Linked DNA regions of Oryzias latipes. The protein of the gene in region 1 interacts with the protein of each later gene in a biochemical or structural test. Links are inferred from orthologs where the notes say so. Each region holds a gene or a part of one and is shown on either strand. Other genes may lie near its edges. The genes, in order: dmd, dtna and snta1.

Region 1 (3,652 bases):
GATGAATATTGAAAAAGGCTGTAGATGATATTTGATGATCAAATCCAGCAACAACTTTGGTTCCTGAAACTCCAGAACAGCTTTCATCAAATGCTGTGAAACAGGAAAAGTAGAGGAACCAACCAGTTCCAGACGGATGGCACATAAAAGCATCATGAAGAACAAAACCGAAGCAGGAAAGACTTCAATGTTTCACCTTGACGCGCCCCCCCTCGGGGGGGTCAGGCAGCTGGTCCACTGTGCGCTGGATCTCCTCCAACCAAGCCAGCAGGTCATGTGACGTCCTCCTGTACTGGTACCACTGTGGGGCGATGGCCAGGGCCTTCTTGTTCCTCAGGATGCGCAGGTCCTGGAATGCAGACGACACGGCGGTGATGGGAGGACGACCACAGAGGAACATCTGGAGAACGTGGGGTTCTGCAAACGCTCCGTCACTGAACAAGGAACACGGTTCTGGAGGCATAGAGTGACTGCAGACACGGTTAGTCCTCATGCACCAGCTGCAGGCTCACAAGCCGTTACCATGACAACGCTGCCTCTCTAAAGGCCGTTCACGTCTGATAATGGACTTCTATGCACTCATCCTATAAAGCTACTGCGGTCCTGAAGCGGCCTCAGATCAGCTGCTGGTCACTCCACCTTGACGGCGTTGTACTTGCTGTCCAGCAGGTGGAGCTTCAGTCGCACTTGCTCTCGTTTGTCTGCATCTGGAGCTCTTCTCTGCAGGTTCTCTCCTCTCAGCAGCAGCTCTTTGACTGCCCCCTCCTCACAGTTCTGTGCACATAGAGACGTCTGTTAGCCCGTGCACTTTGACCCCTCCCCCTGAAGCTGCGTGAGTGTGAGACCTTGTCTTCCTGGAAGTCCTCCTCCTTCAGGTTTTCGCCCTGGTTGGCCTCCTCCCCCAGCAGTTGCAGCCACACTTGGGCGTCGTGGTGGAACTGCTGCAGCTCCTGGGCCGAGGCTGCCGTCTGCGTGCACAGACACGAGTGAGATGGGAGTGGCGTGGAAACCCCCACCTCCCACGTGGTCACACTGACGTACCGGCGCCGCGGCGATCCGCTGGGAGACAGCGGTGAACCTGTGCTGCAGCTGCTCCACCCTGGGCCCCACCTGGGCCTGGCAGTTGTCTCCCCGTGTGGACATGAGCTCCTGGGCCAGGGCCCCCACCTCCTCCACCCTGGTAGTGTTCAGCAGCAGCTCTGCGCGCAGAACCTGCAGCAATAACGTGCACCTGTCTGCCTGTGCCGTCACCATGGTAACCTTGGTGTTTCAGCAGGAACCAAACCTTCAGGACGCCATCGTTGGGTCCCTGACTTTCAATGTCCTCCAACTTCCTCTCCGCTCCGTCCATCCACTCGTTCACTTCCTGGATCTCTCCGTCCAGTTTCTGCATCTGACGTTGGTAATCCTGGGAGGACAAGACGAGAAGGCTGGACTCTTTGTCCTTAGAGCGTAAAGAGACTGATGCTACGTTCACACCGGCCTCAGAAACGCACATTTGAGTTATCATTTCCAAAAGAAAGTCTATGTTAACACGCGTCCAACCGACCACCTGCTCTGACAGTCTACGGAAACTCGTGTCCGAGCGACCTCCTCCATGGAAACGTCTACAAAAACGTGTTTGAGCGACCACCTCGAATCAGAAATCTGTGTGAACCTGAGTCCCAGCATGCATATTCTTGTGTCGGCCTTCCGTGTTCAAAACCTTTGTGTTGACGGTTTGTTACTCTGGTGTTGGGCTACATGAAACACATTGTTGAACCAGTAGTCTATTGACCAATCAGGACTCAGATGTGGTAGTGTCGTTTCCTGGAATGACCAACCGTTTGAATATTGATCATGGAGGAGAAATTCATATTTGTGGTTTGGAAGTCTTTGACACCAAGTCTTTCATTTATCAGAGCAGAGCTATAACAGAACGATTCACCAGATTGACACCGTTATGCCGTTTCACACTAAGACTCCTCCTACTGCAGGTTCTGCCCTGGTACTAGGGTGCAGACAGTCCACCGTATGCTAAAGCCCGTTCCAGAACCGGCCCGTTCAGCGGTGTTGGTGAGTGTGCGACACCGCCAGCGTGCGCCTCACCAGCAGAAGGTTCAGCCACTCCTCGGCTCTGGAGGTCACCGCGATCCAGTTGCAGTGCAGCAGGCTGACTTTGTCGTCCACCAGGCCGGCGTGGTCGTGCAGCACCGCCTTCAGCGCCTCTGCCAGCTCCACCACGGCCTGCAGCTGGGGCTGCCGCCTCTCCGTCTCCCCGTGTACGGACTGCCAGCAAACAAAGAGACCTGAGTTTCCGCGGACACCGACCCGGCTGCTCGCCCCTGCGGGAGTCGTACCTGCGCCCAGGCCACCTCTGCCTCCAGATCGCTGGGCATGCCGTCCACGGCGGAGCGCCTGGTCAGCTCGGCGTCGGTGGCGGCCAGCCACTCGGTCAGCGCGGTTAGTTCCTTGCGCAGCTTCTTGGACAGCTTGAGGCTCTTCTCCAGCTCCAGTTTGCTCTCGGTGACCTGCAGGTGTGACGCGGTCAACCGCGGACTCAGCGCTCCTGGAGACGTGTGCGGACACTGACCTGAGCCCCCAGCTGGTTGAAGAGCAGCTTGAGGGCCGTCACTCTGTCGTCCAGCTCTTTGGGCTGCTCCGTCTGCTGCTTCTGGACGATCTGCCGGCCGGTCTTGATCACCGTCTCCACCTCGGTCTTCACCTCGCTCAGCACCTTGTACAGTTTCTGTTGGACGGAAAGCACCGGACGTCAGGCGGCTCTGTGAACCGTCTGAGCCCGGCAGGTGACTCCGTTTCCCACCATGCACTGCTCCAGCTGGGATTGCACCACGTCCTGCTCCACGCTACGGATGCCCAGAAGCCCCACCTGACCCTTGACCCCAGCCAGCACCCGCTCGCATTCCGCCAAGCGGGTGTCAAAGTTAGCCGGCTTCTGGAAGAACCGGAACTTGGTCCAGACGTCTGCCAGCATGTTCTGTGGGAGCAGTTCATCCACGTGGTTAGAGCGTGCACGTGTCAGTGTGCACGTCGGTGTTTTTAGACCCATCTGTGCACACCTGGGTCAGCTGGATATCTCCCATGATCCTCTGGGAGTCCTGGTTCCTCCTCCTCATCTCCTCCAGAGTGGCCTCGTGGTCGCTCAGCTCGGACTGGATTTTCTGTCACAGACACACAAACACACACTGTTCAACATAAAGAAAAACACACACTTCCACGAACACACATTTATAACCAACAGCCACAAACACAGCTTCCATCCATCATGGTTGTGGATCTGGACTCTTCAGGGTCCCTGAAACCTCTCTGAGTTCTCCTCCAGGTTCTCCCCACACCTCCAACTTCAAAGGTTTCTCCTTTTTCTCTGTCGTCTCCAGAGCCGTCCATGTGATGAAGAGGACGCGTCTTCATCCTCACTCACCTGGGCCTCCTGAGGAATCTGCTGGGCGTCTATGTGGTCGGCGAGGTACGAGGACAGGTGGCGGTCCGTGTTGGCCAGACAGTCCTGGATGTGCCGGAGGGTCCGGTCGTTCTCCTGAGCCAGCTGGAGGCCGGTCTGCAGCTGGCTCCTCCGAAGCCCCGCCTGGGGAACATGCAAGCAGAGAGTCAGAGGGTACCCACAATGCACTGCAGAGCCACCACAGTTATCAGA
Region 2 (3,652 bases), on another chromosome or scaffold:
GAAAAAGCTTATAGCTGTAATGTCAAAGCTACAACTGGCAGAACACAAGGTCCCTGCTCCATTCTGATCCGTTTACATCTTTGTTTTCCTCGTTCGAGCTTACATTTGGCTCCAAACTGTATGACTGGATTGCTCGCCATTTTTGTTGCACCGCTAATGTTAGGTTGGGGTTGTGAGGGGCAGTAAGCTAGCAGGAGAGGGTGTAAACAGATGGGTGACTGGAAGTGGGGGCAGGCTTGCTCTGCGCCAGTAGTCCACTACTCTGAGCCCAATCCGAGGTCAGGAACTTTGGCTTAAAAAACGACACAGGTTTTTGAATTTTGGCTAAAAAACGTATAATCATAATTAAAGGACCACTGGGAACACTTTACAAATAGATCAAAAGATGGTCAGACTGTAACTTAAAAGCGAGCCTATAATGGAAAATTACCCACGAGTTTTCACTGACTTTGAAAAGGCTCAAGATGAGTACAAAAACAAAGATTATAAAGGTCCTTAGTCAAAAAATTTAGTGAAGACTGAACAAGATTTGCTTTTTTGGATGCTCTAAATAATCCTGTACATTCTTTAGGCTTTAGACTAGCAGGTTATATCTGATTTCTGTTGAACTACAACAAATGTGTGCGCTCATTTGTGGCCTGCAGTGTGCAACATACAGCCGTAGATTTCTACTTTTGTTTTCACTGTGCTTTGCGATTTTATTCACTTTTTATAAAAATTGCTGATAGTGTTTAGTTACACATCAGTGATCGTATCTGTTGAAAAAAATGAGACAACAAGGCTTAGAATTCAGCCTCTGAACTTTCTAGACATAGCAGCTGAATGGAAAATTGATGATGTAAGATATTTGGCTTTAACAGCAACAAACAACTGGAAAATAACCGGTATTTCATCATAACGAAATGGCTGCAGCATGCCACTGTTCTTTTTATTGTTCGTCAAACTAAATATGCAAATTGTGTCTAAAAAGACGTGTGCAGTCTGACGTGAAACTTGCATAATTACTGTAGCTGCCATGCTGCAAAGTGCAATGTTTGGTGTGTTGCAGCTGGAAAGATTGCCCACAGCTGGGTGAGACATGGAAAATTCATCATCTGGCCATATTGCTTGTCATCTGCATATAACGATCAAGAAACGCACAAACTACAGAGTCCATGCTCGCCGCTGCAAGCTTCAAACCCAGAAGTGACTGATAACAACGTAAAAATAAGAGGAGGCAAACATGGAGGTCCTCTTTAAGAAATCCCAAAAAGATGCAAACTGTGCCAAAGTGGAGCAGCGTGTTCTGCTCCCATATAGATGAAAGACACGTTTGCAGTACCTTGAGAAGCATCATTAGCTGCTCCAGCTGTACCATGAGTTCCCTGCGACTCTCCTGCAGAGTAGACATTCTTTGTTCAAGCTCATCTTTGCGTTGCCTAACGGAGGAAACAAGTGGTAATAAAAACATAACATCATGTAAGTGGCAACAGAGAAAAATAGCATCCCGAAGCCGCCCATCTGGATGATGTTTTTTTCAGCAGCCGCAGCAGAACTGTCCGTCATTCCTATACTCATTGAATCAAGGACAGAATTACCTGAGAAGTCGAAGCTCGGCGAGCAAGGTGGGGTTTTGCTGACCCTTATCGGGAGGCGGCTGGGATGCCTCCTCGTGCTGAATGCGCAGTCGCTGAATTTCCTGCAGGATTTCTCTGTAATCAGAATATTTCCACAAAAAAAAAGGCAATTTAACATTAGATGATTCAACACAACCATAAGAACCTTTTCAACCTGTTCCAACATCCAATAAAAACTAGTATTTTACTCTTTGATCAACACCAGCAGGCAGCAGAAACATCCCAGTGAACCAAATTCAATTACTGTGATGATACTACAAAAATCCCTACATTATCTATCAACTTTATTACATACTTATCAGCTGTTCATAAGCTTGGTCCCATTATTTATGGTCCAAATGGTTCAGCCATGAATATAGTGTTAGGCTGCCCAAAACACCAAATAAATAGGTGAGACAGCAGATAGATATTTATGTTTACAAAAAGCTTCCCTGGTAACATTTTATTTTTGTTTAAAATGTTTTGTCAAAGGTGAAATGAGCTGATTATTTTACTTTGATGTGTAACTACTTCATATTCCTATTTAAATTTAGTATTTAAAACGCTGTTACTTAATTTTAAAGACATTTACAGAGGCCTCCACCTTCTAAATTAAGTTATAAATAAATTCAAGAGCTAATGTTTATGACTGATTTTTATAAATATAGTAAAATTGACTAAATCCACTTCAGAAAATGTAATTATCGTTCTAAAATTGCAGAATAATGTTGGATTTTAAGCATAAACTGAGATAAACCAAAGCAACATGGATGTTAATGTCTTAGAATGAAATGAACTGAACATTATTTTTCTCACAGGGAGAAATTCACTCATCATGGCAGCTCAAAGGGAAAAAAAAACAACTGAAAGTAACGTTACAGCTCACTAGATATCGGATCAAACAAACAAATACGTAAATAGATACATAGATAATTGTGCATACTAATAATAATAATAATAATAATATTAATTGGGTCTTCATGCACCAGATTGTGACCAGGGCATCCAATTTCTTTTACTGCTGAAGTTAACTTGGAAACTTTCAATCTTACGTTATTTAAAGTGATAAATATAATTTCTTTCTTTCTAAATCTTCGTTTTTATTTGTCATGCATTCTTGATTCTGATCTCTTGTTCCAAATGAATGTGTAATAGATAAGGATAAAAATAAATATTTCAATTGGATCACTTCTGTAGAGACAGACATATAACAACCAGTCAAACACAATATATGGAACGGTAGGAATTGGGGCTTGATCGGTAAATTTTTGATCTTGATTGTTAGTAATGATCCACAGTCCTTGTGGTAAATGTCTGAAATGATGGAGATCGATTTCTGGTTGACAGATGATCAAAAATAGAAATATCAGTTTCAGGCTTTGACTTAAACAGTAATACAACAGTTTCCTCATGCTGACTGGCATATCTATAAGATTCCCTAAATGTAAATATGAACAGAAAGAACAGAGGCGTGCGTCTCAGAGAGGCGGTCATCCCTAACCTGTTCTTGCTCTCCAGCTCAGCGATGAGCTGCTTTTGCTGTTTGTTGGCATCCAGAGAGCAGGGCAGGTCCATGGGGACCCTCTGCTGTTGAGCCTGTTGGTGAAGTCGAGCGAGACACATCAGATGAACGGCTTTTTAATTTAAGGTGATGTCATCCACAAGCTTTTTTTTTCTTTTTTTTTCTCAAACAGCACACAGGAGGCACTAAAGCAGAGCTGCCATGCAGGTCTGCAGAAAACTGAACACCACTTTGACAGCTTAAGAGTTTGAACAGCAGCAAATGTTCCTTTTCTCATTAGATGCTCTGATACATGGAAGTAATAAATATCTTGTATGCTAGATATCTTACTGCAGCATCAGAAGCCAGTCTAGCAGCATAGCGGGCGATGAGACTGTGCTCCTCATCTTGATGGTTACTGCTGTCCATTAAACTGCTTAAAAGAAGAGAAAAGAAAAACACAAGAAGTAAAAAAAAACAACATTTAAGGCGGATAAAGAATAAAGAATTCTAATAAATAAAGAATTCTGATTCTGATTCTGATACGTTTGATCGT
Region 3 (3,652 bases), on another chromosome or scaffold:
AGGTTTTTGGGTTTGGGATCGTTTATAAAACCATATTTGCAGTACAAGTATTCTCCATTATACTAAATGTTGATCATTTACTTCATACTTTTTCTGTTGCTTTCGCTTAACCCTTTTTTCCGAAACTCATGATCTATGCTTAAAGTTGAAAGGAAATGTCTTTCCTTAGATTAAAGACATATTTTGTTTTCAGTGGAATCCTCTTGAAGGAAAGGCTGGAGACAGCCAGCGACGGCATCTGTCAGACTTTATTCATCAGCTTCAACATGTCTCTTTCTGATCATGGTCAGGTTTGCTGTAGTGGCTTTCATCAGGTGTCTTTTAGCATTCTTGTCAACATTGTTTTTGAAACCCGGAATCTTCTTGTACAAAAAAAGCTACTTCAGAGCAGACAAAAACCCAAAAGCCTCATGAATAAAAACCAGTTTCAGTGCTTTCTCTGTCACATTGATTAGATGGTGAGTTGGTACCAAAATAACCTTCACCTCTATAACTGGTGCACCTTTTGTGTTTAGATTCAGTGAAATGATCCATCAAACCAGTTGTGTTCATGATGTTTTTGACAAAAGAGACTATTTTGGGAATAATTCAAGCCTTCTTAATGCCGTCTTGTGCTTTGACTCCTCTGCTCGCCCTCTAGCAACTTTGCTTTTGTGGTGCGCAAGAAGGCCAATTGCCTCTTCCCCAGTGAAACCAGAGCTTTGCCTCCAGCCTCCTGCCTTACTGTGTCCTTTGGGCTATTTTTACTCTGGCAGAGGCTACTCCTGCTAAACCAATACCAAAGCCTCCTGAACCGCAGCAGAAGTCGTGTGTGGTGGTGGTGGTGGTGTGTAGGCGTATGTGCAGGGGTGTGAGGCAAATGTCATTTCAAAAAAACTGTTCTTCACAGAATCATGTCTCAATAATACATGAAAAGTCTTTGGGTTATATAATTGATGATAAAAATCAGTGATTTTTAAAAGGAGAAATTAGTAAACCTGGTGTCAGCGTTTCTTCCGATAGTTTCATAACAATTTACCTTTTTATTTTTGCAACATTTTAAACTGTGACAAAAGATATTAACCCATAGTACCATCAGCTCTTTATCGAAGTATAGTTTTCATTCAAAATATGACCTGAGGGTTTCAAAAAAGTCTTTAGCTTTGACGTTTTTAGTTTAAAACAAACATCTATTTTTATTTTGTCTCCACACTTTTTTGATTTTTGTTCTAAAACATAAAACCAATTTAATGTCCATTTTTTGTGTTTATTGCAGGTAAAAAATGACAAACTTACTACTCAGAATTGAAGTTTTCTGTGTAATTTCAGGTTTATTGTGGAACGATTGTATGATATAACGAAAAATATATATGTGAAAGAAAAAAAGAGCAAGGGTTAAAATATAGATATGAAGCACTGCCACACAAAATGTTCAAAAAGGCTCTGGAATGCGGAAGCTATGTTCACACCGCCCTTAAGCACCAATTCCATTGAGAAGTCTCTGTAAATGCACATTTCTGGCTTTCACATTCAAAACTCTTGCGTTTACACATTGAGAGCAAGACTTTTGACGAGCATTTTCGGGCTCATGTGCGGCCAATAAACCAGGTCCAACTTAGACTGAGACTTAGATTTGTGCCAACCGTTTGTGCCCAGCCAGAACTTTCATTTATCGGAATAGAGCTGTGAAAGAAATAACCTGGAGCAAGATTCACGAGATTTGCACCGCATTTACATTTCGCACCAAGCCTCTTCTAAGTGTAATTGACGCACATGCACTAGTAAAGAGTAGCAAAAGAAAAGGAAGAAGAAGCCCCTCCCTCTATTAACCCCTCCCAGTGTGAACACCATGAACCAAATCCGCATTTTGCAAATTTCTTGAACGCGAATCACAGGGTGACCGTAAATTTTCCGCATTACACATGAAATGTTGGTTTTTCGTGATACATGCAGGAAATACATAATTCTCAAGTGTTTTTTGCGTTTGCCATCGGTCGATATGCGCAAATGTCTGTCGAGGCTTTCGGCCAACGGGTCTTAACGGGTTTTAACGGGATTCATTTGTGATACATCTGTGAAAAATTCATGTAAAGAACCTCAACGTTTCTCTCTTTTTCCACGTATATTCACGTATTACCAATTTTCTTCTGTGCAACATACGCAAAATGTACCTAGTGGGTGTGGGACACGGCCTTCATGAGTTAATGACAATTTTTGTTTGTGTTGCCGATTCATTCAGTTTCCCCTATTTCTAAAAAAGGTTGCTTCACGAAGGAAGAATGTCTAAAAGTGTGGATCATATAGTCCAGCTGTGCTTGGGCACCTATCCCAGAATTATATCCTCATCTGTGCCTCCAGCTGGGGCCCAGGACATCCTCACTCCTGCATCTTAAAGGAAGAGCTGGAATCAGGAAAGCTTCCAACAGCAGTTGTCTTTAGGATTCTCAATTAACTATAAGAAACTATTAGACAAAGACTCATCCTCTCAGTGGGACCCCATTTAAATCAAATTATAATCAGCTCTGTCTGTCTTTTGCCTCATCAGCCATTTTTAACCAAACTCCCCTCTCTCCTCTTCTGCAGTGAAGTACATCAAGGAAATGTCTGCTTTTTTTAAAAGCTCTGGATCCCCCGGAGCGTCTCTCCCCTGGGATTCTCCTCCCTCCACTCCTCAGAGGGACCCCGAGCTCTCTCCTGCTGAGGGGAAGGAGCCTCGCAGCGTACCTCTGAAGATGTGCCAGGTGTCACGGAAACAGTGCCCCCCGGACACAGAAGACAGGTGCTACATGTCAAACACTTCCTGCTTTGTCACTTCTGATTCAGTCAAACATTTCTGAGCAAGAAAATCAATGCGGACGTCAATTCCAAGTAATCCGAGACTCTGTGCTTCAAGATGTTTTGGTTTTAGTCACGTTTATGTTACTGAACATTTCTTCCCCCTCAAGTTATACATCATTTTGTCTTTGGTTTCTCCAACTGCCCCACTTCCCCATCTCCTCTGTTCCTCTTTCCCTCTCTTGCTTTCATCTCATTTGTCAGATACTTTGAGGTGACTTCATTCAACAGAAAGAACTCTGTGTTCCTGCGGGCTAAAGACCCAGCCATGGCTCAGTCGTGGTACAACGCCATCCAGGCTGCTGCTGGCAGTCTGTTACCGCAAGTGAAGGAGGAATTAAAGATCATGCAGCCTGGTGTACAAATCAAGCATGTGGGCTGGATGACAGAACAGGTAGGAAATGTGTTTGTGTGGAGGTCACATGTTAACGAGATAAATCAGGATTCCCCTTTTGATTCATTCATTTTGAAGCAGTAGTAAAAAAAAAAAGACAAATAAAGTAGAAAAATTCTGTTTTGACTTTTTAGCCGTGAATGGTCTTATTGTTTTTCAGCAGACTTCTGGCCACTTCCATTTGTTTTTTAAATATAAAGGCCGTTTCCCACAGCCACTATGTACATTTGTGCATGTTGCATGGATGAAAATTGGTCATATGTGAAAATACATGGAAAAAGGGAGAAAAGTTGTAGTCTTTACATGAGATTTTCACCGATGTATCACTAATGAACCACGTTAAAACCACGGAAAAAGTACGAATAAACCACGCACAGAGAATACGTAAATCCACTGAGAACATGAACTGTTCGTGATTATCGCGCTGTTTAAATGTAATTCATA

The links.
Region 2: the proteins of dmd (region 1) and dtna form a complex in vitro, tested with the Homo sapiens proteins (3 studies listed by BioGRID and IntAct, with this or other methods). The link is inferred for Oryzias latipes from reciprocal best matches to the Homo sapiens genes DMD and DTNA.
Region 3: the proteins of dmd (region 1) and snta1 form a complex in vitro, tested with the Homo sapiens proteins (2 studies listed by BioGRID, with this or other methods). The link is inferred for Oryzias latipes from reciprocal best matches to the Homo sapiens genes DMD and SNTA1.

What each region holds. Positions count from the first base shown.
Region 1 is NC_019860.2:186,814-190,465, reverse strand, and holds part of dmd (dystrophin), read right to left. Parts: intron 3,584-3,652; coding exon 3,422-3,583; intron 3,162-3,421; coding exon 3,060-3,161; intron 2,978-3,059; coding exon 2,804-2,977; intron 2,729-2,803; coding exon 2,573-2,728; intron 2,511-2,572; coding exon 2,340-2,510; intron 2,269-2,339; coding exon 2,089-2,268; intron 1,409-2,088; coding exon 1,286-1,408; intron 1,213-1,285; coding exon 1,042-1,212; intron 969-1,041; coding exon 846-968; intron 775-845; coding exon 640-774; intron 350-639; coding exon 197-349; intron 1-196. UniProt on the Homo sapiens protein: Anchors the extracellular matrix to the cytoskeleton via F-actin. Ligand for dystroglycan.
Region 2 is NC_019875.2:27,156,298-27,159,949, reverse strand, and holds part of dtna (dystrobrevin alpha), read right to left. Parts: intron 3,533-3,652; coding exon 3,448-3,532; intron 3,192-3,447; coding exon 3,097-3,191; intron 1,692-3,096; coding exon 1,578-1,691; intron 1,419-1,577; coding exon 1,322-1,418; intron 1-1,321. UniProt on the Homo sapiens protein: May be involved in the formation and stability of synapses as well as being involved in the clustering of nicotinic acetylcholine receptors.
Region 3 is NC_019863.2:11,943,447-11,947,098, reverse strand, and holds part of snta1 (alpha-1-syntrophin), read left to right. Parts: intron 1-2,562; coding exon 2,563-2,758; intron 2,759-3,018; coding exon 3,019-3,208; intron 3,209-3,652. UniProt on the Homo sapiens protein: Adapter protein that binds to and probably organizes the subcellular localization of a variety of membrane proteins. May link various receptors to the actin cytoskeleton and the extracellular matrix via the dystrophin glycoprotein complex.